Linked DNA regions of Mytilus edulis. The main gene of each other region encodes a partner of the protein of the gene in region 3 in a complex. Links are inferred from orthologs where the notes say so. Each region holds a gene or a part of one and is shown on either strand. Other genes may lie near its edges.

Region 1 (6,954 bases), on a different chromosome or scaffold from region 3:
AATTAAAAAAGAATGCGGCCGTGCATATCTGGGTATACATGTATGTTAATGTAAGATACACCGACCCAACAATATAACAAATCTGAAACACACAAATACCAGCCAGTAAAGGAGACATTTTTTGATGAAGCAATTTATTTTAATGATCCCATCCATGTGAATTAGACAATTCACTAACATGATCCCTGACTGTTTGGTCTAAGACAGTGTAAACATCTTTACAACTTTTCACTGCTAAGTCAATAACTTTACTCAGATTGTCCTCATGGAGCCTCGAGTTCTGTTCAAGAAAAACTATCTGGTCAGATTTTGGTAGTGTTGCAACAATTAATTCAGGTCCACCTGAAGATTCTTCAAGATAGTTTATATCAGCAATAGGATTATCATTTACAAAACTTGCTGAACAAGCACAAACAAAGTCTTTCATTGGAATACCAGCATCGATCAGAGCAAGAGTAGCCCCATTTACACTAGCACAGTAATTTCCACCATCCGATTGGAGAACTTCAACAAAAATGTCAATCTGTGATCGTGGATATAAATTTGTCATAATTGCTGCATCAAATGTTTGTTTTAAATGCATTGTCATTTCTTGTGATTTTCTGTCACCTCTTGGTCGACGTTTCCTCTCCCCAGTACTAAATGTAGCCATGCTGTATTGACAGTTAACCAATACTCTGTCAAGTAACAGCTTTGCTCTGCTCCCTCTGATTTCATGTGGACCATAGACTGTGGCCAGCACTTTTGTATTTCCTTGTTCAATGTATGCTGATCCATCTGCCTGCTTGAATACACCTGAAGGAAAGAGAGAAAAAATTGTTATGCTAACTACAATGAAATAATGATATACAAGTTATGAAGTCCTTAAACTTCCAACTACAACCAACTTTCATAATAACACTTTATCGTTTGATCTTTTTATTTTATGTTTTGTTTTTTGTTATTGTCATTTTCTTGTCTTCAAAAGGATAAGTGATACCTGTAGTTTAAGAATTATTCACAAGCTTATTGTCCTCAAAATTATAAGCCTAGGTTGGCCTTTAAAATGAACTAAAAGTCTAATTCAGGCATACTTGGGTCTTGTTACATAATTTAAATCAAAATGTACATGAGGGTAGGAATGGGGTACCCTGCATGACGAATGACGAACCATGGCTTCAGGTCAGGCTATTCCTGTGAAACCCAACTGCTAGTCACACTACACGACTTCATGAAAGCCTTCGACGCAGGAAAACAAATTGATGTAGCTATACTGGACTTCTCCAAAGCATTTGACACTGTGCCGCACAACAAACTACTGCACAAAATGAACGAATACGGTATAAGAGGACCACTAAACAAATGGTTGGAGATGTTCCTAACCCAAAGGAAAATGAAAGCTGTCGTAGATGGGGAGGAATCAGAAGAAGCTTCAGTTGACTCCGGTGTACCACAAGGTACAGTACTAGGACCCCTTCTCTTCCTCTGCCACATAAACGACCTTCCAGATTCAGTACAATCATCTGTCAGACTTTTCGCAGATGACTGCCTCCTGTACAGGAACATAAATAGTCAACATGACCACACACTCCTACAACGAGACCTCCAAAACCTAGAAGTATGGGCCACAAACTGGGGCATGCGCTTCAATGCAAAGAAGTGCTATATACTTAGCATTAAGAATAAAAGCCAGAAGATGTACAGCCTAGACAGACATGTACTACAACAAGTCCAACACAACCCATATCTAGGCTTACAAATATCAGAAGACCTAAAATGGACCACGCACATCTCAAACGTTGCCAAGAAAGCCAATTCGACACTCGGCTTTCTAAGAAGAAATCTACGCTTCTGCCCAAAAGATTGCAATAAGACCGCATATATATCATTAGTACGATCAACTATGGAATATGGTGCCATAATATGGGACCCATATACACAACATGATATAAATCAATTGGAAAGAATACAACGCAGAGCAGCTAGATTCATCACAGGCGACTATAGGTCTAGAGAAGAGGGGTCGGTCACCAAAATGCTAGCCGAGTTAGAACTAGACAACCTACAAACAAGAAGAACAAGTCAACGGCTAGTATTTCTGTACAAAGTGGTTGAGGGGTTGGTCCCAGCTATTAATCCCGACGATTTTCTTGTTAAAAGTAAACCCAAGAGGAAAATCAAACCTAAAACATTTGACAATTTTGTATGTGCCAATATAGTGACAAATTCAGTAAAGAACAATTCTAAGGCACTAGATACTATTCCAAGCAACACCGATCCCTATAAGAACTCATTCTTCGTCAAGAGTGTACTACATTGGAACCAACTAGAGGATCGTATTGTATGCGCAGATACAGTTGAGAGCTTCAAGGCTGCTCTCCAACACCGCCAATAGGTGTCTCTCTCTCCCGTTGAGTAAAAGCCAGAATTGGTATCTTCAACGTACACATACAGATACAGATACAGACAGAAGAAAATTGAATAATTCAAAGAACCTTAGTGAGCGCGCTCAGATACCCCACGTCCCAACAGAAATAAAATAATGTAACTGAAGAAAAAAAATTGAATCATAATTTCCAGTCGATATGCACATCTGCATAGTATGTCCTTATTATCTACAAAGGTTCATGAAATTCTGTTGTGTAGTTTCAGAGAAGTTGTGATGACAAACTGTTGCAGAGGTGAATTGAAGCAAATAATTTCAAAGGGGCGTAACTTCTAAAAAAAAAACATGACATGGAGAATTTAAAGGCCTCTTGTGATTCGTAAGTCCGAGATTACTCTGACGTCCAACGGCTGTTTTGCCAGACAAGCTGGGAAAACAGCCGTTGGACGTCAGAGTAATCTCGGACTAGTGATTCGTGTATCCAAAACGAAGTGCGTCAAATTACAAATCAATAACCTAATTTGCACTGGATCCGTCTTAATTCATTTGGTTTTCTGCCATCTATTCTATAGCCTTGATCTGACAAAAGATTCACTCCTGCCATGCTCCCAATATTTACAACGGCATGGAAATTGAACTCGACAATTGTAAAAGAAGCGTTGATTGGTTAAGATCGAGATATTATCCAATCAATAAAGACCTATCATTTCGAACTCGGACTTCTCCTCAAGATGGCGGGAGGGGATAAAATTCTTTTTCCTCACGAAATATCTAGTTATAATGCTCTAGATTGGTCGGAAGATGGCACAGTAGCAATTGCTACAGATAATGGAGTTTTACTTTTGGTAAATTGTCTCAGTAAATGTTTATATTCTTTCTTGGTTAAAGACTTATACAGTTATAGTGCGAGTCCGCTGCTGGATAACTCGGACTAAAACAAAATCGGCCTATAACAAACTCGGACTATAACAAACTCGGCCTACCATTATTTATATGCAGAAATATATTGAACGAACTCGGACTACGATTAGTAGATTGTTATTTTTTTACTTTAATAAAAAAACACTTTATATATATTATTAAAATTATATACGAATTTATGAGATTACATGTATAATGAATATTTTTGAAAAAAAAGACCATATATATAGAAATGTATTAAAGGGAAACTTCGTAAAAAAATCAAAAATTGATATTATGTTCATTCTGTATAAAAATGCTCAAATTCATAGATATTAAAGTTTTATTCCGCTAGATAAGCGATCACCATCGATTTTAAATTAAGGGTATTAATTCTCTGCGTTCCGCCATTTTGTCCTTCTTTCCCGATTAATGAAACGATATGTCTATAAACCACAAAGAAACAAAACTACAGTAACCGATGTAGTCGTAATTGCGTGTCGATATCTTGTCAATCGTACGGTTGTTTTATCCGACTAACTAACCATGGTCTGTTGTTTTTAAACTTGATATTGGAATTAGGTGAAAAGTCAAAGTTGAAATCATAAATAAGTGTTCCGTGAAAATTGTTTTCGAAAATCTAATTTGTTCATAATTCTTTAAAAACTGTTTTCAAATAAATTTTGATCTTCCCTCTTCTGATCACCAGCATGGCTAAAGGTATTACTTCCAAAGGTATTGTGAGGGGTGTGAGGTGACACGTGCAGGTATTCAAGCGATTTCCTGTCGGGCTTGCAAGTTCACGCATCGTTTCACTTCTGCAGGTATTGATCAGTGTACACGGCTGATAACATTTAACTTTCCATTTTGAACTATCAGATGTATAATATACAACTCTGTCTTACTTGTCATTACCAAACTCATACGCTTGTTTATAAATAACATTTCTGGTGTAAAGAATATTATTCATAAAAATATAAATAATACCCAAAAAATAAGATTTGATGAAATTAAAATCTATTTAAATATTTTTTCCAAGGGTGAATTTGGGAAAATGTAATATATACTCATTGTCAAAAGTGAAGGACAGATTGGAACATACCAGAAATATTGATTTAAAAAAATGTACGCACTTGCCGACGATTCGTTTATACGACTGGATAGAAAGTTACGGAACTATAGCGCAATTTAAAATATATACATGTATACATTGAACATAAGAAAAAAACATATATTTTGAATAAATAGGGGTAAAAGTGTTGTAAATAGACTAGTCCACGTATGCCAACAGTATGTAATCATCGAATGTCGATAGACTATTGTATACCAGAAGAAAAAGAGAACCAATTTGATTTAAATACAGGTCGATGTATAACTTTTGCTTTGGTTCATTGAAGTTGTGGACATAGTAAAATCACAGATTTATATTTCAATAAGATTGTTCTCGAACAAAGGAAGGAATTCGTCATCACAATTGTTATATATGCCACTGGACGAACACTAATTATCCCGAAGGGATGTGAATATTTTGCTGGGAAACTTTAGAGTATCAAAGTTTCAAATTAATTTCGGGATTTTTTTTTTTCTTGGTATTCAATAACAGAAAAAAGAATAAATTACTTGTCCGCTAAATAGGGGTATTCTTGTCAGATGAAAGACTTTTAGTTATATTTAAAAAAATAGGGAAATATGACATTAAATTGGTTCTGTCTTTTTTTTAAACATCGTTAAAAAAGATGTGTGTCTAAGGTGAACGCCACAAGAACCCTGTAATACTAGTACGAGAGTATAGCATGTAAACATTCCTTCTCAATAATATGGTTGTATTGGAAATCTTTTCATACAGATTGACAACTCATTGTCCGATATGCATGTAATATTTGCCACATGACGCCCATAGTTCTTTCTACCATCGTCATCTTATTCTTTGATATTGCTGTCAACATCGATGGTTCACACCCAAACAAAATGGGAGTAATGGACCTTCAGAGCTTCTCCGTGTTATACACTTGTGAAATATATAGACGAAATTTCTGTATTGAAATGAATATACATCTCACAAACAGGATTTTCAAATAATGATTTTGAGTAATCACCTTACAAACCAATATAAACGTATGGCAAGATATAACCATGAAGGAATTTAGTTTTTGTCAGACACAAGAACTCATCACTATCATAAACGTATACGTATATATGCATACAATTTCAAATATCAAGAACAAGCGGTCGATCGGATGTCGATAGTCCGTTTTCTAACTGTTCGAGTAAGACATGTCACTTGTTCATTCTTGAAAGCCTTCATATTCCCCGTCTAACGATGGGAACTGTTTCTGATTGTGTTGACTATAAATGCTTGTATGGTAATTCTGTTGTTTATCTGTACAAGCGGTTGCATTTCCTCTCCTTTCCCAACAAACAAACGAACGAAACGCTACTAGTCTGCTTTCTCTGGAGCTCATCCTCAATGGCTCTTATACGTCAGGAAACTTACATGTATACTAATAATGATTGTTTCAAGAACAACGATGTATGGACGAACTATTCTAAATTTGTCAATATCAGTTATGCATGACTAAAATATAACTTTTATTACAACTACTGTATTACTTATTTGGATTAATGACGGCTATCATGTTCAACATTGCACAACTATTATCATAGAATTAAAAAAAAAAATCCTCAAAAATCCTTAAAAAAAAATAATGCCTTAGCTTAGATAATTGGTATTTTTTCACAAAAAGTTCGTGTAAATGATTGTCAAATGAATTTAATTATGTAAGAATAAAATGTTAAAAAGAAACTAAAAAAAAAAATTATGTATGTTGTATTTTTTTGTCAATTAAAAACTTTAAAATTGCAATAGTTTTATTAGCATTTAAACACAGCCAGATTTGAATACAAGTTAAGAAATTCCGGTATAAAGTCAATGATATCAAACAGATGTACAATGGTATATCAAATTGGGTAATATTGCATTTAGTTTTTATTAAAGATTAAAACTACTATTTTTTACTTCATATTTGAATCTTTACGCCAATTGCCGCTAAGAAAGTAATCAAAAATTGTTTCCTTTTATTTTTATACATTTTCGGATTTACGAATCTGAATTTTATTTTCAATTAATTTACACAATTTAATTATTGAATCTTTATTCTCATCGTGTATTAAATCTTAGTGTATTAACATCGTGACATCATACTCTTTCTAATCCTTTCTGTATATCCTTTCCAAATAACAACATTTATACCTGTGTACGCTTGAACTCACACCTGCGGCTAAATAGCTACAAGGTAAACGAATTGACCTCAAACCGAGAAATATACAGTGACCTTTACAAAATAATATACACACTCTGCTCACACATTAGTTGCATTAAAATGATTATCAAAACAATAACGGTAAATAGACAAGTAAATAGTAAAAATGTTCAATAAATATTTTATGAATAAAATCTCAACAATAATTAATTAAATGTATTCAAAAACATTTACTAGAGACAGAGACATATTATTTTATAGGAGTTTAATTCAATGAATACAAAACGGTATATGCATATTCATTTTCGTTCATTATTATATTGTGGTTAATAACTACGACCATTCGTCAGCTGTGTGCTTTTAATTACGTATATTTGTCGATAAGCTATAAGAGTTAAACAGATTTTATTTTTTCCCAGAATTCAATAA
Region 2 (7,523 bases), on a different chromosome or scaffold from region 3:
AAAGACTTTAGTTACAGCTTTAATTCAATGTCATTTTGACTACGCCTGTTCTGCATGGTATGCTGGTGTCAGCAAAAAATATAAAGATGAGTTACAAGTACTACAAAACAAATGTGTTAGATTTATAAAAAACACTGGATATAGATCAAAAGTTGACCATAATGTATTGAATAGTATTGGTTATGTTAACTTTGAAAATTGTGTTAAACAATTGAGATTAAACCATGTACATAATATTCATTACCACCATTGTCCTGATTATATGTATTCAAATTTTACAAATGTGAGACATTTACATCATCATTTCACACGAAATAGCGAATATAACTTCTGGGTTCCTCCAGTTAAGAGTCAACAAAAAGACACATTTTATTTTAATGGCATACAAGATTGGAATATGTTGCCAATTATTGATAAAAAAAAATAAAGAAAATAAAGGAATTCAAAAGTAGCGTCAAAGAGCACTTGACCAAAAGTTATAGTGTGGCTTCATCAGACTCCTTTTAGTCGAGCCTTCGACTATAGTTGAAAAAGCGAGACTAAGCAATCCTACATTCCATCGTCGGAGTCCACAAATATTCACTCTGTGGTTAAAGTTTTTAAAATTTTAATAACTTTCTAAAACTATCCTGGATTTCTACCAAACTTGGACAGAAGCTTGTTTATGATCATAAGATAGTATCCAGAAGTAAATTTTGTAAAAATAAAATTCAATTTTTTCCGTATTTTACTTTTAAATGGACTTAGATTTTCTGCCAGGAAACAACACATTCACTCTGTGGTTAAACTTTTTAAAATTTAAATAACTTTCTTATACTATTTTGGATTTGTACCAAACTTGGACAGAAGCTTGTGAATGATCAAAAGCTAGTATCCAGAAGTAAATTTTGTAAAAATAAAATTCCATTTTTTCCGTATTTTACTTTTAAATGGACTTAGTTTTTCTGCCAGGAAATATTACATTCACTCCGTGTTTAAAGTTTTTAAAATTTTAATAACTTTCTTAAACTATCCTGGGTTAGTACAAAACTTGGACAGAAGCTTGTTTATGATCAGAAGATAGTATCTAGAAGTAAATTTTGTAAAAATAAAATTCCATTTTTTCCTTATTTTACTTTTAAATGGACTTAGATTTTCTGCCAGGAAACAACACATTCACTCTGTGGTTAAACTTTTTAAAATTTAAATAACTTTCTTATACTATTTTGGATTTGTACCAAACTTGGACAGAAGCTTGTGAATGATCAAAAGCTAGTATCCAGAAGTAAATTTTGTAAAAATAAAATTCCATTTTTTCCGTATTTTACTTTTAAATGGACTTAGTTTTTCTGCCAGGAAATATTACATTCACTCCGTGTTTAAAGTTTTTAAAATTTTAATAACTTTCTTAAACTATCCTGGGTTAGTACAAAACTTGGACAGAAGCTTGTTTATGATCAGAAGATAGTATCTAGAAGTAAATTTTGTAAAAATAAAATTCCATTTTTTCCGTATTTTACTTTTAAATGGACTTAGATTTTCTGCCAGGAAACAACACATTCACTCTGTGGTTAAACTTTTTAAAATTTAAATAACTTTCTTATACTATTTTGGATTTGTACCAAACTTGGACAGAAGCTTGTGAATGATCAAAAGCTAGTATCCAGAAGTAAATTTTGTAAAAATAAAATTCCATTTTTTCCGTATTTTACTTTTAAATGGACTTAGTTTTTCTGCCAGGAAATATTACATTCACTCCGTGTTTAAAGTTTTTAAAGTTTTAATAACTTTCTTAAACTATCCTGGGTTAGTACAAAACTTGGACAGAAGCTTGTTTATGATCAGAAGATAGTATCTAGAAGTAAATTTTGTAAAAATAAAATTCCATTTTTTCTGTATTTTACTTTTAAATGGACTTAGATTTTCTGCCAGGAAACAACACATTCACTCTGTGGTTAAACTTTTTAAAATTTAAATAACTTTCTTATACTATTTTGGATTTGTACCAAACTTGGACAGAAGCTTGTGAATGATCAAAAGCTAGTATCTAGAAGGATTTTGTAAAAATAAAATTCCATTTTTTTCGTATTTTACTTTTAAATGGACTTAGATTTTCTGCCAGGAAACAACACATTCACTCTGTAGTTAGAATTTTAAAATTTAACTTTCTTATACTATTTTGGATTTGTACCAAACTTGGACAGAAGCTTGTTTATGATCAAAAGCTAGTATCTAGAAGGAAATTTAGTTTTCTTCCAGTTGACATTACATTTAGTCTGAAGTTAAAAGTTTTTAAACAGTATTAGATTCATAAACTATCCTGGATTTTTACCAAACTTAAACAGAAGCTTCTTACAATTTAAAGATAATATCAACAGGAATATTTTATTGATTTATTTACTCATTTTTGTTGAGCCTGCGATTAACAGAAAGAGTAGGCGAGAATTTTTTTTATATTATTAATCATATTTTTATACAAGTTATTTTTATGTCATATTATTATTAATTTGTGTGTTATCGTTTTTTGTATGTCGAAACTATAAGCCGTTTACATGAAGGGACCACGTTGCAAACAAGCTTTAGAGCTTTCATGGGTTATCCTAGTCCAAATAATTATGACGTCTGGCAAGGCTATTTTAATTTTTTTTCTGGGACGAGAAAGTCATAGGAAGGCGTCATATATGTGTTAGTATTGTCTTTATGTATCGTACATATATGTATTGTGTATTGTAATTATAGATATGCTTGATATTTTATTGAATAAAATATTATTATATTATTATTATTCATTAAACATCATACATGCAAAACACGTGTTTACTTTTATAATTTCACACGAATCCCTGTGTCCTTTTTTAATAAGCTTTAGTGATGATGGATAATAGTTTTGAAAGAATATATATAAAATGGTTACATTCAAGCCTCATTAATAAGGTAACTGGTAGAATATGCAATCAAACTGCGAACTGTTCAAACACTTTGTTGGAAATAAAGGGAGGTAAATCTAAGATGTAAAAGAAAAAGGATAGAAAAAGAAAAGGAGTGCCGAATGATAACCGATTTACTCAAAACAAAATCCTCGTAAAACACAGTTCTCTAACATTTCTTTTTTTTTTAATTAAAAAAAGGCACATCAGATCAAAAATCAACATTTGATCAGATTTAAATGGTTTGAACAGTTTTTCAATTCGTAAATGATTTTCTGCGTAATCTGTCGATAAAATTAATAACACGGTGGAGTTGTCATTTTATGTTAAAATGTGCAACATAGCCTAAAAAAGCCAATGATATAAATCTATATGTTCACTATAAAGTAAAGTAAAGTAAAGTAATCTTTATTTAAAGTCGGTTTGCATATATATACATAATAACAGAGAACATGAGCTCTTAAGAGCTCTTTAACCGACTGATATTAATAAACAAAACATAGGGGGGACCGGGGTTGAATGAGACACTTTTTATGTTCTTGTCTATACATACAAATCAATTATACGCAGCTTTCTCACTAGACCTAGCAAACTAGACAAACATCTCGTGTACATTTTAAAAAGGATTTGAATCCACTAAAGCTATTTCTTAAGTCACATCTGACGATTTAATGGGGGTTGTCGCATGTCACAACCTACCCCGTGTGCGGGGTACGTAAAATCTTCAAAAACGCTTCTATGGCATAACCATTTCTATCTCGATGCAATTTGAAAAAGACTTCACGAAAACTTTCTAAATATTCCATAATTTTTTCTCTAAAGGAAGATTTACAGTCACTGTCTCATTCAACCTGTGTCACATTCAACCCCAGTCTCCCCTACATGTAATAACATCAGATACACATACAACACAAACATACAGACATCACATATATATATTAATACATAGATAGCACATGCAGAATAAAAGCTAAGCAAGATAGATTAAAACAAATGTCTAATATCAGCACATATACAGTAGCACATAGTGTGTGGTTATATTTAAATAAAAATGTTGAATGCGTCTATTATTTTTGAAGATATCATGATTTATTGACAGTGCTGAGACACATACATGTATTACGTAAGGTCAAAGTATATACATAAACGAAATTTAAATTTTAAACATCAGTTTACTTTTTTAAATAAAAATTGAAAGTAGTTAATTTGTATAGGTCTTTATAGTCTTCCATAATAATTATTGTTCACTTACACATAGACAAAATCCTTCCATTTCAATGTATTGTGGATCAATAGTATAGTATTTAGAAGATAAAAGTTTCATGCTTAAATATTTACCAATTACGATTTTCATACTATAATGTACAATTCTGGCCACGCGTCAAGAGTGGGAAAAATATAATTTGACCACATAACATAATATACTTTGCAAATGTTTGGTGTATAAATAATAGTAATTAAGAGCGTTAAGATGGCTTGTTTCTTGTGTCTCTTGTGTGTGTGTGGTGATGGTTGTGGTGGAGAAAAAAAGGGGGGTTCCATGCGGATTTCATGTTATACTTTTTCGTATTTGGAAGAATGGAAGAAGAAGACCACAAGGTTAAGACGTTTGAACAAGTTTGCTTTAAGTAATTATGAGCATTCTTTAAAGACTTCAAAGGCGATTCTACGACAGTTTCCACTTCCCCTATTAAAACGGTCAAATGTAATCATTGAGCTGTACATCATGATCACATGCATAAATGAAATTCATGGAATAGGCTGGATCTATTGGTATACATTACTGCAGTAGAGATGGAATGTTGTTAACTTGAGAAAAAAAATCGAATAGTGTATAAAGCGTAAAATGGAGATATTAATAATTTTTAAAATGGAAATTACACTCCATCCAGAAAAGGATACATATTAACCTCAGTATTCATAAAATAAGAATTTTTCGACCTTCCGTTGCGGTCATGGATCAGGTTCGGCCTTATAGTCGTCTCGACCATGTACCATTTTGGCCATATGACTGATGAAAAAAAATTCGTTTCGGCCATTTCGGTTATACCCTTTATAACTTTGAATATAGTTTTTTTGACACTTTTATAGGAATGAAGATTTAAGAAATATTTACTTACCTAGTTTCTCATTCAAAACATCGATAGCCATAATGTCCCGAAACGACCAAGACCGAAGTTGGGTTTACCGAAACGCAGGACCTTTAGCCGAAATGGCTTATAGCCGAAACGTCTCGGAACTTTCTCGGCTTTAGTAGTTTCGACCATGTACCATTTCGGACATGGTAGAAACTACTAAAGCCGAGACGTTTCGGCTAAAAGCCACTTCTCACATGTACCATTTCGGACATGTGAGAAAGTCCATTCGACCGTGTACCATTTCGGACATGTGAGAAAAAGACGTTTCCTCCATTTCGTCCATACATTTATTTTTGTATAGGCCTACCCTTTATGAAAATAATGAGATATTATTAATTTGCCGTACTGATGTGCCGGAATTTTCTTTATTAAGTATAATATATAAAGAAATATTTACTTAGTCTACCTCTTAATTATTCAAAACATTGATAGACATAATGTACCGAAACAACCAAGGTCTTTAATAGTCTTTGTCAACTTGACACTATGATCTCTCTGTATTTAGATCACTATGGTAATTTAATCACGTTCGCTAATGTATAAAAATCATCAAGTTAGTACGAAGTTGGGTATGACCGAAACGACCAAGGACGAAGGTGGGTATGACCGAAACGACCTTTGGCCAAGCAGGTTTAATATAGCCGAAACGTCTCGAAAGCTCGATTAACACTGGAATATTTTTCGTAATATTTGAACAATATTTTCCTTTTTTTCAAAATCCGTGAATTTTAGGTTTTCCATTAATTTCAAAAAATATGTACAAATTGATATTTTTTTGTCTAAAAGTTATAGTGAGACAGTAAGGCAGCAACCATTTGATTTTCGGGGGGGGGGGGGGGGGGGGCTATATGGATTTTTTTTGGAAAAAAAATTGTTTTTGATTCTGAGAAAAAAAATTGTTTGTTTCCCCCTCAGCTGCCACTATATGTAATGCTAAAATTGAAAGAAGAAAATTGTCTTCGACTTGTCCCGAAAAAAACCCATTGTTTTTCGCCGCAGGCGAAAAAAAAAGTTTGTCCAGAAAAAAAATCCATAGCCCTCCCCCAGAAAATCAAATGGTTGCTGCCTAAATGATTCAATAAAGTAGTCTCAGCTATATGTATAATGTATTTATATACCGACTCTAAATAAAATTTACTTACTATAACCAAAGAGTGAGGTTCTGGTTACCTAATGGAACATAGAATCAACAAATGAATGACGTAATTTACGCGCATTAATACAGACACTCATGCGTTCTTTTTGAGTCCATTGAACAACGGACGTACAGTGAGGAAGAAGACCTCCAAACAAGAAATTACATTAAGAACTAATTTGAAGAACAAAACACAAACTATGTCATACAGAGGAAGAGACCACAATTCTGGACGATCAGACCGTAAAGGGTAATTATTAATATTTCTTGCTTTCAGTAATTCAGTTCTAAAAAATGACGATTGTTCAGACATTATGAGAAGTAGTTCCTTGCATAAATTTTTGAACGCATTAAAACATTTGTCTACAAAAGAATGAGTTCCCCTAGGTATATTAAATTAGTTTTTATATATTTTAAGGACGAACATAATCACACTGTCTAAGATTGTTCAACATTCTTTTCGCAATTTAAAAAAATTAATGATCACGACAGGTGTGCATGATCACTATAACCGGACGTTCAAACCTCCATTGACATTGTAAGTTTAGTTATATTTAATAATTAAAAAAAATCTTGTGTGAAGTCTTTTGTCACAAGTTAGGTGCCAAATACACTGGACTGCATGGTAGTTATATAACTTGTTGAAACTTTTCTCAAAGAATACATGTCCCTGAAATTTGGAATATTTAGGCCATAAAAAAGAATAGATTTGTTTGCCCTACCTACCCAGAAAAAACTGCCTACTCAAATTCTGTTATTGTCCTGATTAGAAGAAGGTTTTTTTAATCAGATAGGCATGAAGACTAATAAACATCCGATACAATGTACTTCAATTTCTTAAAAAAAAAAAAAAATACCTACCTACCCACTGTCTCAACCTTGTAGGGTTTGGGCAAACCAAAATATTTTTAATTGTGGCCTTATCAACTTCTATTTCCTGTAATGGCTTTATTATTAAAAATTAGAAAACCACCTTTTGTAGTTGTCCCTTTTATGATAAATTTTCCCCCCTTTTTAAATGAAAAAGGGGAAACTTCATCATGTAAGGGATAACTACAAAAGGTGGTCTTCATTTAAAATGGGGGATAAAGTTTCTTTCAACATTGGAGTAAAAATTTAATTTTGGCAGCCTTCACGCTTAACTTTCGAGTCCACAAGCCAGACGCTTTTTATACGACCCCAAAAAGTTTTTGGGATTGTACATGTATATTGGTATGATGTCGTCGTCCGAAGACACATTGGTTTCCGGATAATAACTATAGTTTAAGTGAAAAGATCTTTATGAAATTTTTTCAGAATGTTCAATACCACAAAATGAAGGTTGGGATTGATTTTGGGGATGAT
Region 3 (7,675 bases):
AAACTTGAATTTCCAAAGAATAAGCAAGTCCAAACCTTGTATGTGTAGTCGTTGAACTCTAGGTTCCCACGTAAAGTTAAAATGTCACTATTTCAAGGAGCATAAACTCACGAAAGCACGAAAAATTCACTAAATTCGTCTTTATTCGCGTTCATTGTTTTGATTTTGACCGCCTGACAACTTTACGGAAATGTCAAAGTGATTGTAAATAAGGACTCTGTGACGGGCAACTTATAATATCCGTGTTTTAAAGATTTTAATGATATTAGCCGGTCCAGTTCAAAGTACTATCACGTGGTACAATTCTCATTTACATATTATGAATATTAGTTAGCAAAACCACTACTAATTTCTGGCTATGTAGTGATAAATTCAGTGAAGAACAATACGAAGGCACTAGAAACTATTCCTAGCAACACCGATACATACAAGAACTCTTTCTTTGCCAAGAGCATACTTCACTGGAACCAACTGGAAGACCGTATTGTATGCGCAGATACCGTTGAGAGCTTCAATGCTGCTCTCCAACACCGTTCGTGATAGGTGTCTCTCTCCCGTTGAGTAAAAGCTAGAATTGGTGTCTTCAACGTACACATACACGGATACAGATGGTGGTCACAGACTTGCGTAAGTGGGGCTGGATTTAGGGAGCTACCATTTTTTTTTGGAGGGGCTAGTATCAGTATCAAATTTGGAAAAAAATGCAGGACAGGAGTTTTTAGTAAAGATCAGTAAAAATCAAGACAGGATGAGCAACTTGGCAAAACAAAAGGCTGGATGACAATTTATGTAAAAAAAAATCAGGATTTAATCCGATTAACTAATAAAAAGGCAGAACCGAATAGAGTGAAAAATAAAAAAAGTAGGATAGAGATTACAACTTAATAAAATGCAGAACAAAATGGTTACCCCCTCCCCCCTTAAAATCAAATGGTAGCTCTGTATCTGTATGTTACACAGTGCAGGATCCGATCGCGGATATATGCGCACTGGAAGGAAAGCGGGTTGGTTAGTCCAACCGTTGGAGGGCAGCCATGAATCCCTCAACTGTCTTTTGACATGCAATTTCCTCGTCCAGATGGTTCCACTCCACTATTGTTTTTGGTAAAAAAGAGTTCTTTTGAATGTCTGTTTTGCAGTCTATTAAATTGTACGATCGATCTGTTATTTCTGGTTTCTTGTCTTTCCACGATGTTTGTGTATTGAAAGTCACTAAAGGTTTTTGCCTTGACTTTTTTTTTATATAAATAAGGCCGTTAGTTTTCTCGTTTGAATTGTTTTACATTGTCTTATCGGGGTCTTTTAAAGCTGACTTTGCGGTATGGGCTTTGCTCATTGTTGAAGGCCGTACGGTGACCTATAGTTGTTAATGTCGGTGTGAGTTTGGTCTCTTGTGGACAGTTGTCTCATTGGCAATCATACCACATCTTCTTTTTTATATTGGCGTTTGTTTCTGGTCTTTTGCAGGTAATTAGTTGGATCAATAGCCGTCACCAATCCCTCAAACACTTTGTAGAACAAAGTCAGCCTCTGATGTTTCCTTCGTTCTTGGAGAGGTGGTAGTTTTAGCTTAGAAAGCATAGTATTTGTGACGTACCCGGTGTCTCTGGATTTATAATCGTGCAAGATGAAACGTGCTCCTCTTTTCTGTATACTTTCTATTTTTTCTATTTCCCTGATAGTGAATGGGTCCCAGATGACAGCACCGTTTTCTAGTACGGATCTTACCATGGCTAAGTAGGCAAGTTTTTTGCACTCTTAGGGGCACTGACGCAGGTTTCTTCTCAGGAACCCTAGTGTACAGCTTGCCTTGCTGGTTGTTTTCCCTATGTGACTGGTCCATTTTAGGTCATCAGATATGTTAAGACCTAGGTAAGGATTTGTTTGTACCTGTTCTAGTATGTGTTGTCTAGTTGGTAGAAGTGTGTTGATTTTTGTTTGAAGCTCATTATATAGATTTTTTTGCGTTAACTTTCATTTAGTGCCCATACTTCCAGAGCTTTTAGATCTTCTTGGAGAGTTTGATGGTCTTTTGTGTTGTTAATCTCTCGATAGAGTAGGCAGTCGTCTGCAAATAAACGAACTTGAGATTTTACGCTTTCCAGGAGGTCGTTGATGTGGCATAGGAAAATCAGCGGTCCTAGTACTGTGCCTTGTGGTACGCCAGAGTCTACGTGAGCATATGCTGAGTACTAACCTTCTACGACAACCCGCAATTGATAGTTTTTGCAGGAATGCTGCTAACCATTTGTTAAGATTACCATCTATTCCGTAACTGTTTAATTTAGCCAGTAGTTTTTCATGTGGCACAGTATCAAAAGTCTTTGAAAAGTCGAGTATAGCCATATCGAGTTGAATGCCACTGTCGAAACTCTTTAGTAGGTCTTCTGTTGTGACCACGGGAGGGGGAGGAGGGGGTAACTTCGATATTTTTTTGGTAGGGGTGTGCCATTTTTGCCTCAAAAACATACCCATTTTAATACAACATTCACTGAAATTCAGTACCTATAGTTATATAAATATTTAAGAAAGAATGATCTATACTTATATACAATATTACATATTATGAAAATCATATGATAAAATTATAAAAGTCTTGTTTATAAGTTAAAATCGTTTCGGAATAGCTGTTCTGTAAGATTCTCAATAGCATATTTATATATGATATGTAAATCATACCCATAATCAATATACAGTTATCAAACGTAAAATTAATGCATTTTAATATAAGATGTCATTAAAAAGGAGGGTCATTTTTATATAAAATCTCGCAAAATTATGACTCATATTTTTGGCACATCCCCGTATACCCAATAATAGGAAGTGACCCCCCCCCCCCCCCCTTGTGGTTGTGACTAAGAGCTGTGTTGTGCAAGGTGTTTACAGATGATGTGTTCCAAAAGCTTACATATTACACAGGTCAGTGAAACTGGTCTGTAATTCTCAGCTGCGTGGACCGTGGCCCCCTTCTTAAAATCTGGAGCTATGTTTGCACTTGACCAATCTTCAGGGAGAGTGCCTGTGTCAATTATTTTTTTAAAGATGGCGGAGATGCTAGGTACTAAACCTAAACTAAAAACTTTTAACCAAGCAGAAAGTGACCTACTACAGAAAGATCTGACATCATTAGAGGAATGGGAAGATAAGTGGCAAATGAGCTTCAATGCAAAAAAATGCATTGTAATTAGAATACATCCCAAGAACCGTCCGGTAATACCAACTAATTACAAATTACACGGACACACACTGGACACCGTTGAAGCTAGTAAGTACCTGGGAGTTACTATCAGCAACAATTTAACCTGGGACAGACACATCGACAACATAGTGGGAAAAGGAAACAAAACACTAGGCTTCATACGACGTAACTTAAAGGATTGTACTAAACCGGTCAAAGCAGCAGCATATTCAACAATAGTAAGACCTTCAGTTGAGTATGCTTGCACAGTATGGGATCCTACGAAACAGGCTAAAATAAAAGCAATCGAACAAGTACAGAAAAGAGCAGCTAGATTCGTAAACAACAACTACACAGACCGCACACCTGGCTGTGTAACAAAAATGGTAACATCTTTAAAATGGGAAAGCCTCGAAGACCGCAGGAAACAAAATAGGCTATGCATGCTGTTCAAAATCCAACATGATCTGATAGACATAGATAGGCACCAATATCTGACACCAAACGATAGCCGGACCAGAGGTAAAAACCGCTTCTTCCAAGAAAGGGCCACAACAGACGCCTTCGGACAATCATTTTTTCCAAGGACCATTAGAGACTGGAACCAACTTCCAACATCAGCAACATCAGCTGACACAGTTGATGGATTCAGAGCTGCCCTGAAGGCATGCTCTGCTAAAATTTAGACAGTAACATCCTGTAAATAGTTTTAATTGTATATATATAGAGAACGTTTTATCCTGTAAATAGCCAAGAGAAAACTTTCTGTGTTGTCCGACATTGCGTTAGTTTTCGCGGGACCTCATACATTCAAAATTTGAATTCGGTTCCTTACCTGGAAGAAGAAGAAGAAGAACCTGCATTGATGATGTCATTAATATATAGCCCCATTCACAGTGCTTTTCTAAATTGGCGTTTGCAGTCTTTTTGGAATTGTTTATATTCTTTGTAGCTTCAAGTTTTTCTAGCATGTTTGTGCAACCTTGCTTTACTTTTTAGCATTTTGCGTAGTTTTCTGTTTAACCGTGGAACAGAGTGCTTTTTCTTTATCATTTTAGATGGTACATTGGTCACAGTGTCAATTGTTGCCCGAGTGTACTACGTTCTTGAAGGTTTGCCAGGTTTTATCTATTGACATATCGTGTATATGATTATAAATGTACTTTGTTATGTTTATGTCCGTTTTAATCTGATCCCAGCTCCCTTAATCCAGAGACAAGTCACATATACACATATATATGTCTCTACTTAATCAGACTGTACCCGATGTTCTGTTTTCATAATCAGCTAAATCAAAAAAAAAGAATTTCCTAACCAAATTTGTTAACAAATAACCATGTTATTAAGAAACATCAATGCTTTGTTATGTTTTGCACCAGTTATTCGTAAACTGCATTCAAATGAGTCTTTATGTCTCATTTCATTAAGGAACTTAGCTGTCTTTGTTTTTCCAAGTGTTTAGCTTGTGTCATTTGTTATACCGAAAGACACTCTTCGATGTTGGAGGTACAAAGAACTATCATTTCCGGTAAAAATAAACGCATGTGAATTTTATTTTTGTATTTTAAAATCGCAGAAAATGTTAACAACAAAGACTTTTATCAAGAAGACAAAGAAAGGGAGTATTATAAAGATTGTGCGAGAACATTATCTCCGTGATGACATTACATGTGGATGTCAGAGTTGTACAATCTGCGACAAAAACGATGTCAAACCTTTGGAAAGCAAACCTGTCAACAAAAGCAAATTATGCAAGAAGTCACACTATCTTATCTTGGACACCAATGTAGTTTTTCATCAGGTATAAAATTTACAGGTTCTTTGTTTTTATTATTGAAATCCAGGGTAGTTACACCCACATTACAATGCATTATGGCACATACCTGTTTAAGTGTTTAGGATGTTGATTACATGGATCAAGATATGTTTCTTACTATTTAATATGAGGCAGCATTACCTGTAAATGGGGACGAAGTCTGTATGAATTATTTTTTTTGTAACTTAAATATTTGTTAAAAAAGAGAAACGGAAATACTGTAACGTTTCCTATTTTGGTTCTGTTGTTATTGATTTCAGTTGTGACGTTATTTAAGTTATGACGTCATATGCAATGTAAAAAAAGAAACGCTATCATCAGGTAATGTTTTTTCATATCAAGGAATTATTAAAAATGAAATTGGTATTGCGTTCCTTCCTATTTTATACTAGACTGATAAGTATATATTTTACTCAAAGTTTCATACAAAGGAGACCGGAGAAAGGAAGTACATTGTAGATTTCTGTGCAGGTGCGTGAATTTTTTTTTTTTTTTTTTTTTTTTTTTATTGATTTTTCTACTGTTATTGGGGACTTTGTCCCCATATAAATCAAGAGTGCATCCGCTGTTAGAATATGTGACATGTCTCTGGTAACTGTACCTTTAAAAGACATCCGCAAACTGGAATTTTTACAAAGAAGGGCATCAAAATTAGTAAAAAATATATATCATCTTAATTATGAAAAGACTACGTTCACCTTGGAATATCGTAGCCTAGGGATACATGTAGGAATGATAAGATACAAGTCTTCAAAGTGTTGCATGGTATAGATGACATCAACTGGATGAGCCTATTTTCTTTAGCACCATCTAATAATAATACTAGAGGTCACTAATTAAAACTTTGGGGGGCTAGGATGAAATTTGAAAAAAATAGGCAGGACAGGAATTTTGAGTATAAAAAAAAGAATGCAGGATGAGACACTTGCAAAAAAAAAAGTCAGGATGACAATTTAGGTAAAAAAAAAGTCAGGATAAACTAAAAAAAAAGAAGGCAGGATCGAATAGAATAAAAAATAAAAAGGCAGGACAGAGATTACAACCAAAAAAAAATGCAGGACAAAATTTTTCATCCTAGCCCCCCCCATAAAAATCAAATGGTAGCTCCCTAAGTTAGCATATATTTAAGAGTGATCTCTCTTCAACCTGTTAAATTAGGTATTGAGTATTGTGGAAACAGTTATTCCCATGATTATTTAAAGCTATCAAATGGATAAATGCTCTTTTTGTTTTGATATTTATTACAGTGGACATCTCAATTGATCAATTCCAATTGAAATATATACTGAAACAATTGCCACTTTAGAGATATGTGTTAAGGAATGAGCTCTTATCATTTCTTTTTACCAGTTTGTTTGTGAATGTTTTGTGAATGTTTGTTTTTCTTGTCAAGTGATTTTTCAGGTGCTTGCCTTTCACTTCATTCAAATTTTATGGTCCCAAGAAATTGTTTTGATATAGTTATATTTATGTATGCCATATGATGTAAAAACAGTATGTCTTCATAGAACACATATTATACATGTACATACAAGTATATATATTATTTTAGAAAAAAATTTAGCATTTTTTTAGCTATTTTTTTACACAAAGTCACACGCCCTTTCGGTTGGGATTTTGCATGTTTTGAAAAATGGTTGACAATAAGGGATGAACCCTTAAGAAACATTTATATAAGATTACATATGTCTTGAATTTTTCTTTTTTAAACCAGTTTTTTTTTAATTTTTCAGATTGATGTAGTTGAAGATCCCTCAATTCAGAATGTGATAGTTCTACAGACAGTTTTAGAGGAGGTAGGGTGTATTAGACTTGTTAAATGTTACAATAATAATATATAATAAATAAAGGCCTTTTCCATAATGTCAATATTTTTGCTTTTGTGTGGAGGGTTGTTCAGAAATTACTTTTTTAATCCACCATTTCAGCACTACAAAATTCAAATTCAGATTGAAGGTTCTTACAGGACAACCTACATTATTCTTATATTTTCAGTATCTCCCTCCTCTCTTTTCTTGTATTGACAAAAAATAGTAGGTTTCATGTGGATGTTTGAAATCATGGTTTTGCCAAAGTCTGCATTCAAGCCTTTTCAAAATTTAAAATGGATTCAATGTATATTCAAATTTACAGTTCACTTTTACCAATGAAATCCACGATATTTGGTAAGCCCGGAATCATGATGAATCCACAGTACATGTTAAATGATGTAATTAAGGAGGTAGACCTAGGTTAAGGGAAATAACTATTAAAATCATCAGTACGTTTGTGTCAACCATTTTCATAAATATATTCTAAGCTTCTAGGTTACATAGATTATTTCCAATCTGTTTCAGGTAAGTGCTTAAAAAACATTGATGAAACTTGACTTTAACAAACACATAACTGATTTAAAGAGTTGTCTCCCTGAACAAAGGTCTACCACCTTAAGTGCATATATTTACAAATATATTGTTTTGTAAAAGTTTTAGTACACATAGTTGTAAAGATATACGTATGTATATAAACATTGTTATTTTACTTTTAAGTTTAATAAATTAATAATTTACCTACAATGTAAATCTTTAACAGATTCGACACAGAAGTGCTCCTGCTTACAAGAGAGTCAAAGACTTCATAGCAAATCCAGACAAACATTTCTACACATTCTGTAATGAATTCAACAAGTAAGTTCATATTGT
Region 4 (7,868 bases), on a different chromosome or scaffold from region 3:
ATTCAATGCTAAAGGTTGAGCCATATGAACCAGATTTCTTTACAAAATTATGGAATGCAAAAATCTGTTATTGACCTTGATTAGTTTGCAATATGTGACAACCACTTAGTCTGAAAACTTGTGCACATTTACATCTGAATTTTTTGTTGCAATCTTAATTTTTAAAAGGATACACTTATGAGGTCTCCTTCTTTAAGATAATTTCTCATCATCTTCTCATCTTCCTCTGATCTTCGCCTCTAAAAAAGAAAAGGGAAAGAATCAAAAACTTCGACAAATTTTAATAGCATCATGATTTATCATTGAAATCACTTTTCGCATCACTGTAAAAGTCAATTCAACACAAATATGTCATTTACCATTTAGCAATAGAAACAGCAAAAACTTAATGTATGCTGTTTAGAAGTATTTTCATTTTGAAAAAATCAAGGGGAGATAATTCATCAAGAAAAAAAATGCATTGTACATGAAATATAGTACAAATAAGATTACAAATTTACACATTATCATGATTTATCATTGGAATCAGGCTCTTTATACATCACTGTAGAAGAATTTCCATATCTTTATTTTTATAATAGAAACTGTAATCTTGAAATTGAATATTTTAAAAATATGTACAACTACATGTATGCATCAATTATATCAAAATTGTCCACATACAAGTCAACTTACATCCACTTCATTTGAACTTTGTAGAGAGTTGTCTCATTAGCAGTCATATCACATCATTGAACTTATTTTTATATTAGTAATTTAAAAGGACAAATGATTCTTACAAGTTCTCCTCCTGGCAGATTAACTGATGACAACATTAATATGGAATCTAACTTTGATCTGGTATCTACTTTCCATCTCTTTTGTCCCACTTCTATAATTCTCCCAATCACAACATCTCCAACTTCACCATTATATCTATGGATTAACAAAATAATTATGTGTTACCACTTCTATAAACCTACCAATCAAGGGTGAAGGTGTTAATGTGCATGAAATAACCTACACATGATGTGTAACATAGACTTAGAAAAACATTGTATATCAAAGGGACAGTACTGTCACTGTTTTGCATATTTATAGATTAAAGATGAGTGTCAATGAAACAACTCTCTTATGACTAAGAAAAATAGCTGTAAACATGGCTTACAACATCCTATTCTCTTTCGACATGACTGACAAAAAACTTTTTTAGTACAGTACATATGTACCTTGAAATGAAAAATTGACATAGAGATATACAATGTATTAAAGGAACATTTCATTAGTGGTTGTTGTTTGCTGATGTGGTTCATAAGTGTTTTTTGTTTTTTATATAGATTAGATTGTTGGTTTTCCTGTTTGAATTGTTTTACACTAGTCATTTTGGGGCCTTTATATAACTTGCTACAATTTGGTGTAAGCCAAGGCTCTGTGTTAAGGCCTTACTTTGACCTTTAATTGTTTACTTTTAACAATAAGAAGAGCTGAACTTGGGCAATATACATGTACCTGAAAAATTATACACCTTAAAGCAAAAAAATCTTAGATAGAGAGTTGTCTTATTTGCATTCATTCCTCCTCTCTTTATTTCTGTTGTTGAAATAGTGAAAATAATCTGACCAATAAATTGCTAATGTTTACCTTGTTTTAAGAGGTTTTACACATATTAATTTGTTGACTCTCTCCACAACACCGGCTACTGAAGCATGAAGTTTCTCGTCCTCCATATACGTTCCATGACCACTGAAATTATGCCAATAAAATATAAAATATAATTATTTCTCAAGTACATATAAAGGCCAAATCGTTACTTTTTAAAAAGTTTTTAAGGGAGACAAAAAGAGCTGAAATTTCGCATTATAAATGTCCCTGAATAATAATACACCTTCAATACAGGCACTTGTATCAGAATTTTTTTTACTGTATACCTTTAGTTGTCATGATTATATAACACAAGGTACTGGCATTTTGAAAAAAATGTCACCCAGTCGCGAAATAGACAACTTTCGAGTTTGATGCATTGTCGTCAAAAACTCTGGTTTTAGTGAACACCATTTGTACGTTAGGTGCTTCGTCACTTCTGTTCCAATGCTGAGCAAGTGACCGGGAAAACTATAATGTTATATTGCACCAAAAATGTATTTTAATAATTGACAATCAGCACTGCTGTAATTAAGGAATTGTTAATAAGTACTTACAAAACAAACATTATTCTAGTTAATCCTGCATAATGACGATCACTGTATTACATACAAACAAAAATCAGGGGCGAACATGTGAGGTGTAAGCGTGTAGGGTATGACAGTGTATTGAGCGGGAACGGACCTGATAACATTCCTCAAAAGCAGTCGATTTTTTATCGTCTAAATGAAAGGGTACATTTTATTGTCATGAACCAAAAGTTACCGTTAGCCACATTTGGCAAGAATTTTTACAATAATCTATAGTGAAGGTTACTAAGTCTGGTACCTCCATTATAACTCTCTTGTATGATGTCAAAAGTTCAAGAGGCGTAGATTCTTGGGTCAAGCGGCGCAGCCTAGATTTCCAAATAGCGATAAGGTCTATAAAATTTCAATATTAGGACTACAATAACAGTGAAGTGAAATATTGATAACTATACTGCCTTCTCCTCTTTCCGGTGTATAAATGGGAATGATTATACTGATTTTTTTTAAATGATTTAGACAGCCAAAATGAATAATTCTAAATTATTCATTTTAAATAATCGACAAATAAAATTTATGTTCATTTCATGTTGTTCAAATATTGTCATCCATTTCCTACCGCATGAAACCAGTATCTGTAGTAATGACATCGCCTGGACACACAAGGTTCGATATTTCCTCTGTGAACTCTTGCTTTTGACGATCTCTGGCTCCAACAACACGAATATCAACCATGCTGCTTCCTTGCGGGTTTGTTTACAGCTCTCATCGTTTATGTTTTTATTTTTAAAGATTAAAAACTGGTTACTTCCAAACGTTCTGAGGACAACGACGTGAAATCTTATGTAAAATCCAGAGGATCATCGAAATTTTAGTCGGAATATTTGACCTTTCATTTTCAATGAAGAATCACGTTGTATAATTTCATCAAATTAAAAGATGACAGAAGAACAAGTTGCAGAAGCTCGTACTAGCAAGCTCGAGGAGCTGCTCATGCAAGATGAACCCGAGGTAATTAAAATCTACTTTATACAATACCATTCAATTGTCATGATTGTCAAATCACATTTACAAAGTTTTTTCACAGTTACATCATACAGGAACATAGATATACTGTTCCCAGCATCATATAAAAACAAGAAGGAGAGGCATGATTGCCAATGACACAACTCACTACAGGATGCCAAATGACACAAAAAATAACAACATAGGTTACAGTAGGCTAGTGAGTAGGGCCTTCAACAATACACCTTATCGCTAATCCCGGCTGACCCGGCCGGCCGCTTGAACTTTTGACGTCAACAACAATCACTTTTCCATTGTGGCGTCAGATATTTTGTTTTATGACGTCAAATTTTTACGGGAACCTGTGTGATTTCCAGCAATGGCGGACAAATAGCAATAAAGGTGTATAGGATTAGCCCTAGTCCAAATAATTAAGACGTCTGGCAATGCTTCGGTCGTAGGAAGGCGTCCCAGGATTAAATTTAAATAGCCTTGTCAGACTTCATATTTATTTGGACTAGATTAGCCCATACTGCATAGTCGGCAATAAAATTAAAAGTACTTGAGAAATGGGACACTCGAAGTGACAAATGTAAAACAATGCAAACATGAAAACAAACAACCTAATTTATTCACAAAAAAATAGCGAAAAAGCTAAGAGGTTACACAACAACAAATGTCAACCACTGAATTAAAGGCTCCTGACTTAGGGCAAGCACTATTTCAATGTTTTAATTATTGCGAAAAATGTAACCGGGTTATAAGGCCACACCAATTTGATCCCTTGTTCGACGGACCCGCCAGCACCTATTTTTTTCAAAACAGAATTTTTTTATTTTTTTTATATTCCCGCTTCCCGCATCCGGAATTGTAATCATGTCCATTTCCCGCACCGTTTTTTTTTTGTAAATATTATAAAAAGATATCAACATTTGTTAAATCACAGTGTAACCTGTATATAATGATTTTAAACATAAAAGCACCCCACCACACTGTGTAAATATCTGTGAGAATATTTGTTTCAGCATGAAACCTGGAGTGCTCCGATAAAAAGTTATAACAGCGGGTATTTCCGTGAAGAACAAAAAATTGGTTTCTTTCCCCCTTACTTATATTCCCTATCAAAAGATGTTCGTTGTTAGAATAAAGTACAAAGAACTTCTGAAGGATTTGCCTTCAACTGCAATTATATTGTATGCTCGCGAAACAAAACTATCCATAGCCGCTGCATGTTTATGCACCTGTCCTGATTGATTCAGGAGCATGTCGTTCAGCAGTTATCGTTTGTTGATGTTGATCATTGGTATTTTTTCGTTTGGATATATAAATTAGATCGTTGATTTTCCTGTTCGAATTGTGTACGCTACATGTAATAATTTTGGGGTCCTTTATAGCTTGCTGTTTGTTCTGTATCAAAGCCCTGTGTAAAAGGCTGTACTTTGACCTGTGTTTGTAATTACATTGTATCAGGTTGAGAACAACCCTCCCTCAGACAAGGGGTCATTTTACTGATGTAGAAAAGAAAATAGAAATACTAAGGATTTGTATAGTTCTGCTATATAAACCTTTGAACACGAATTTTGTACTCAAAAAGAGGAGAGTTACATCATATTTTAAACAAATTTTTCTAAAAGAGGGGTCCACTTATTTTGAATAATATTAAACTGTTAAAGTAAAGTGTTAACATGGTTAAAGTCCAGGAATATTACAAAATTCTTGGACATGTTTTGACCATTTAATACCAGATAGATATATAGTTCTATGAGAAAATATGAGCTCTTTTGTACAAACAAATATATTATAACTTATATTGATCCCTCATAAAACATGTAAAAGGGATATTTATAACATTAAGGGGTTGCCCCCAAACTGATTATGATTTGGATGGAGAATTGTCTCATTGTCAGTCACACATACATAGACCAGATTTAATTATTTCTTGGTGAACAGGGAAAAAATACTTCAGAAATTAAAGAAATGTCAAAGTACAAGTGGTAAATCAAGTTTTAATATTATCAAAACCTATTATTTTATGTTTACAAAAAAAATTATAATCGCTCGCCTTTACTTTTCAAGCTTCGCCTCAAAAATTTGCAAATTAAATATTTTTTTATTAAAAATTTTCAAATCGCTTGCTCGCCCCAAATTTTGGAGTCCAAAAATCTGTAGAACAAGAAATTAAATTGGTGTGGCCTAATCTGAATAAGGCCGTGTTCAAACCAAACGCCGTGTAGAGTAAACATGTTTACAATTAGTTTAGTGTAGTGTACACTGGTTTCACATTACATTTGTTCACATCTATACACATTGTTTAGCTACCTGTACATAAGATTTGTTCCCATTTGTAAACTATATGTCATTTAAATGTTCATTACGTAGAACTGATTTCAAATTTTTGGACAATTTTTGTAGCGGTAAGGGAACAACCATTTGACTTCAAAAGGGGAGTCGGGGTGGGAATGGAAATATTCCGATCCCCAATTTGATAAAAAAAAAAAAAAAAAAAAGGTCATACAGATGATAAAAAAAATATTCTGAATCAAGAGTTTCCCCATACATTATAGTGTTAAATATGGAAAAAAGTATTTGATCACCAGCATCGAAAAAAAAGGAATAAAAAGGTTTGCGCGAAAAAAAATCTGACTCAGATAAAAAAAAAAAAAAAACCCTCCCCCTTTTTTTAAAGTTAAGTGGTTGCTACTTTATGAAAGCCATTTTTATAATTTGCAGTAGTTTGAATATACTAGAGATGTCTCCATTACGCATTAGAAAACGTTAGCTGCAGCAGCGTGCTTACAGCCAAAAAAAAAGGATTGAGATATTAGGAATCACTACATTTTAATTTTTTCTGTTTGTTTCAACTTGATGGTATTTCTTCTCAAAGGAGTATTTGGTAAAGGAATAGGGTAACGTTTTTTTTAAAATTTATTTGAAGTTTTATTTAACGGATCTGAGATATAAGACAAACATATCATTTACCTCACACTTTCTTTAGTCGTGCATTTATGCGTGAATCGTTGTTTGAGTAAAGACCAGTGGCGAATATTTCTGTGTACGTCAAGTCGATTCAGGAAGACCTTTTCAAATGAATTAGGCAGCAACTATTTACTTCATTTTTTGGGGAGGGGAAGGGGGGGGAGAGTAGGGGGCGTGGGCTTTTGATTTTTTCAGGACAAATTTTGGTGACAAGTCGAAATCAATTTTAGCATTATATATATTGGCAACTGAGGGTGAAACAAACAATTATAGGGCCAAAAACTTGTTTCCAAACACCCCCACCCCCTTGCTTTTATGTTTTATACTCAACTATAATAGCCCCCCCACCCACTCGAAAATCAATTGGTTGCTGCCTTATGGGTTCGGCAATGATGCTGCTTTAAGTCTTGATCAGGGGTTAATAGGGTACGTTAAGTTTTTTTAACAAAAAAAAATCTGTAAAATTTAGACAACAATTTCTGTAAAGAACTATACTAATAATTATCAAAAATATCAATTTTACTCAAAAATTGTTTCCTCGTTAAATATATGCACGGTAAAACTAATGTCCTAAATGCCTAGTTTTGTGTACACTTAACCTACACAAGGCCTACATTGACTATCGACTGTGTGTAGATAAAACATGATTTAAACTACATGTAAACATTGAGTTTTATCAATGGGAACGCAATTGTATTTAGTTTACGTGTGATTTACACTAACACAACACCGAATTTAGGTCAATGTGAACATGGCCTAATTTAAACTCACATTTTGAAGATTTGTATATACATGTATATGAATTGAACAGGATATTTCTCAATATCGCAAACATCAATATCACATTTTAATCTGAAATGACAAAATAGCAATAATAAATGCATGCACAAATTTCTGAATTTACAGTATGTAGATTGGCATATTGACAGGAAATTATTATTCAGTTTTGTTTCTAGGAGTTATGCCCCTTTGAACTTAGACTAAGACTGCAACATGGGGTGTGGGGTATGTGAGCTTGCTCACAAAGATTCCTAACTTTTTGAATTACTAAATTACTTAATAAGATGATTGTTACCCTAAATTATTTTTTTTTCAGTTTGTAAAGAACAAAGATGTATGCCAGTCAAGGTGTTTTATTAAAGGACTTGGAACAATGTTTGTAGGTGGGTACATATACCAATATCTTTTTTTTTGTCTGTCATACATGTATGTCCATTGTCCTTGCTCTCATTTTCATTGGTTCATTGGTCAATGTAAAGTTTTGTGTTTTGGTGTGTTTTTCAAATACTAGAAGCATTATGTCAACTGGTATTGATTGAATAATAATTTTAAGGTGTAAATGTCTGTCTTGCAGGATTATCTGATGGTGACCTTGACTTCATTGTCATGGATGTTAAAAAATGTTCAAAGGGCCAAGTGAGCTTTTCTCATCACTTGGCGTCCGTCGTCGTCCTGCGTTAACTTTTACAAAAATCTTCTCCTCTGAAACTACTGGGCTAAATTTAACCAAACTTGGCCATAATCATCATTGGGGTATCTAATTTAAAAAATGTGTCCGGTGCCCCGCCCAACCAACCAAGATGGCGGCCATGGCTAAAAATAGAACATAGGAGTAAAATGCATTTTTAGCTCACCTGGCCCGAAGGGCCAAGTGAGCTTTTCTCATCACTTGGCGTCCGGCGTCCGTCGTCGTCCGTCGTCGTTAACTTTTACAAAAATCTTCTCCTCTGAAACTGCTGG

What was found.
Region 1: exosome complex exonuclease RRP44-like (region 3) and exosome complex component RRP41-like share a complex: the UniProt entries of both Caenorhabditis elegans proteins name them as parts of the RNA exosome complex. The link is inferred for Mytilus edulis from reciprocal best matches to the Caenorhabditis elegans genes dis-3 and exos-4.1.
Region 2: exosome complex exonuclease RRP44-like (region 3) and exosome complex component RRP46-like share a complex: the UniProt entries of both Caenorhabditis elegans proteins name them as parts of the RNA exosome complex. The link is inferred for Mytilus edulis from reciprocal best matches to the Caenorhabditis elegans genes dis-3 and crn-5.
Region 4: exosome complex exonuclease RRP44-like (region 3) and exosome complex component RRP4-like share a complex: the UniProt entries of both Caenorhabditis elegans proteins name them as parts of the RNA exosome complex. The link is inferred for Mytilus edulis from reciprocal best matches to the Caenorhabditis elegans genes dis-3 and exos-2.

What each region holds. Positions count from the first base shown.
Region 1 is NC_092351.1:28,687,963-28,694,916, reverse strand, and holds exosome complex component RRP41-like, read right to left. Parts: upstream 3,025-6,954; 5' UTR 2,970-3,024; coding exon 2,882-2,969; intron 796-2,881; coding exon 140-795; 3' UTR 118-139; downstream 1-117. Other genes in the region: general transcription factor 3C polypeptide 4-like, read left to right, coding at 3,097-3,210. UniProt on the Caenorhabditis elegans protein: Non-catalytic component of the RNA exosome complex which has 3'->5' exoribonuclease activity and participates in a multitude of cellular RNA processing and degradation events.
Region 2 is NC_092352.1:17,383,332-17,390,854, reverse strand, and holds the start of exosome complex component RRP46-like, read right to left. Parts: upstream 3,002-7,523; 5' UTR 2,894-3,001; exon of another isoform or gene 2,801-2,893; intron 1-2,800. Other genes in the region: uncharacterized protein, read left to right, coding at 6,380-6,429. UniProt on the Caenorhabditis elegans protein: Non-catalytic component of the RNA exosome complex which has 3'->5' exoribonuclease activity and participates in a multitude of cellular RNA processing and degradation events. Involved in apoptotic DNA degradation.
Region 3 is NC_092348.1:60,052,977-60,060,651, reverse strand, and holds the start of exosome complex exonuclease RRP44-like, read left to right. Parts: upstream 1-4,653; 5' UTR 4,654-4,757; coding exon 4,758-4,979; intron 4,980-6,727; coding exon 6,728-6,790; intron 6,791-7,565; coding exon 7,566-7,660; intron 7,661-7,675. UniProt on the Caenorhabditis elegans protein: Putative catalytic component of the RNA exosome complex which has 3'->5' exoribonuclease activity and participates in a multitude of cellular RNA processing and degradation events. Has both 3'-5' exonuclease and endonuclease activities.
Region 4 is NC_092345.1:3,685,913-3,693,780, forward strand, and holds the start of exosome complex component RRP4-like, read right to left. Parts: upstream 3,010-7,868; 5' UTR 2,883-3,009; coding exon 2,767-2,882; intron 1,723-2,766; coding exon 1,621-1,722; intron 916-1,620; coding exon 780-915; intron 240-779; coding exon 174-239; intron 1-173. Other genes in the region: uncharacterized protein, read left to right, coding at 3,087-3,158, 7,225-7,291. UniProt on the Caenorhabditis elegans protein: Non-catalytic component of the RNA exosome complex which has 3'->5' exoribonuclease activity and participates in a multitude of cellular RNA processing and degradation events. Involved in regulation of antisense ribosomal siRNA production.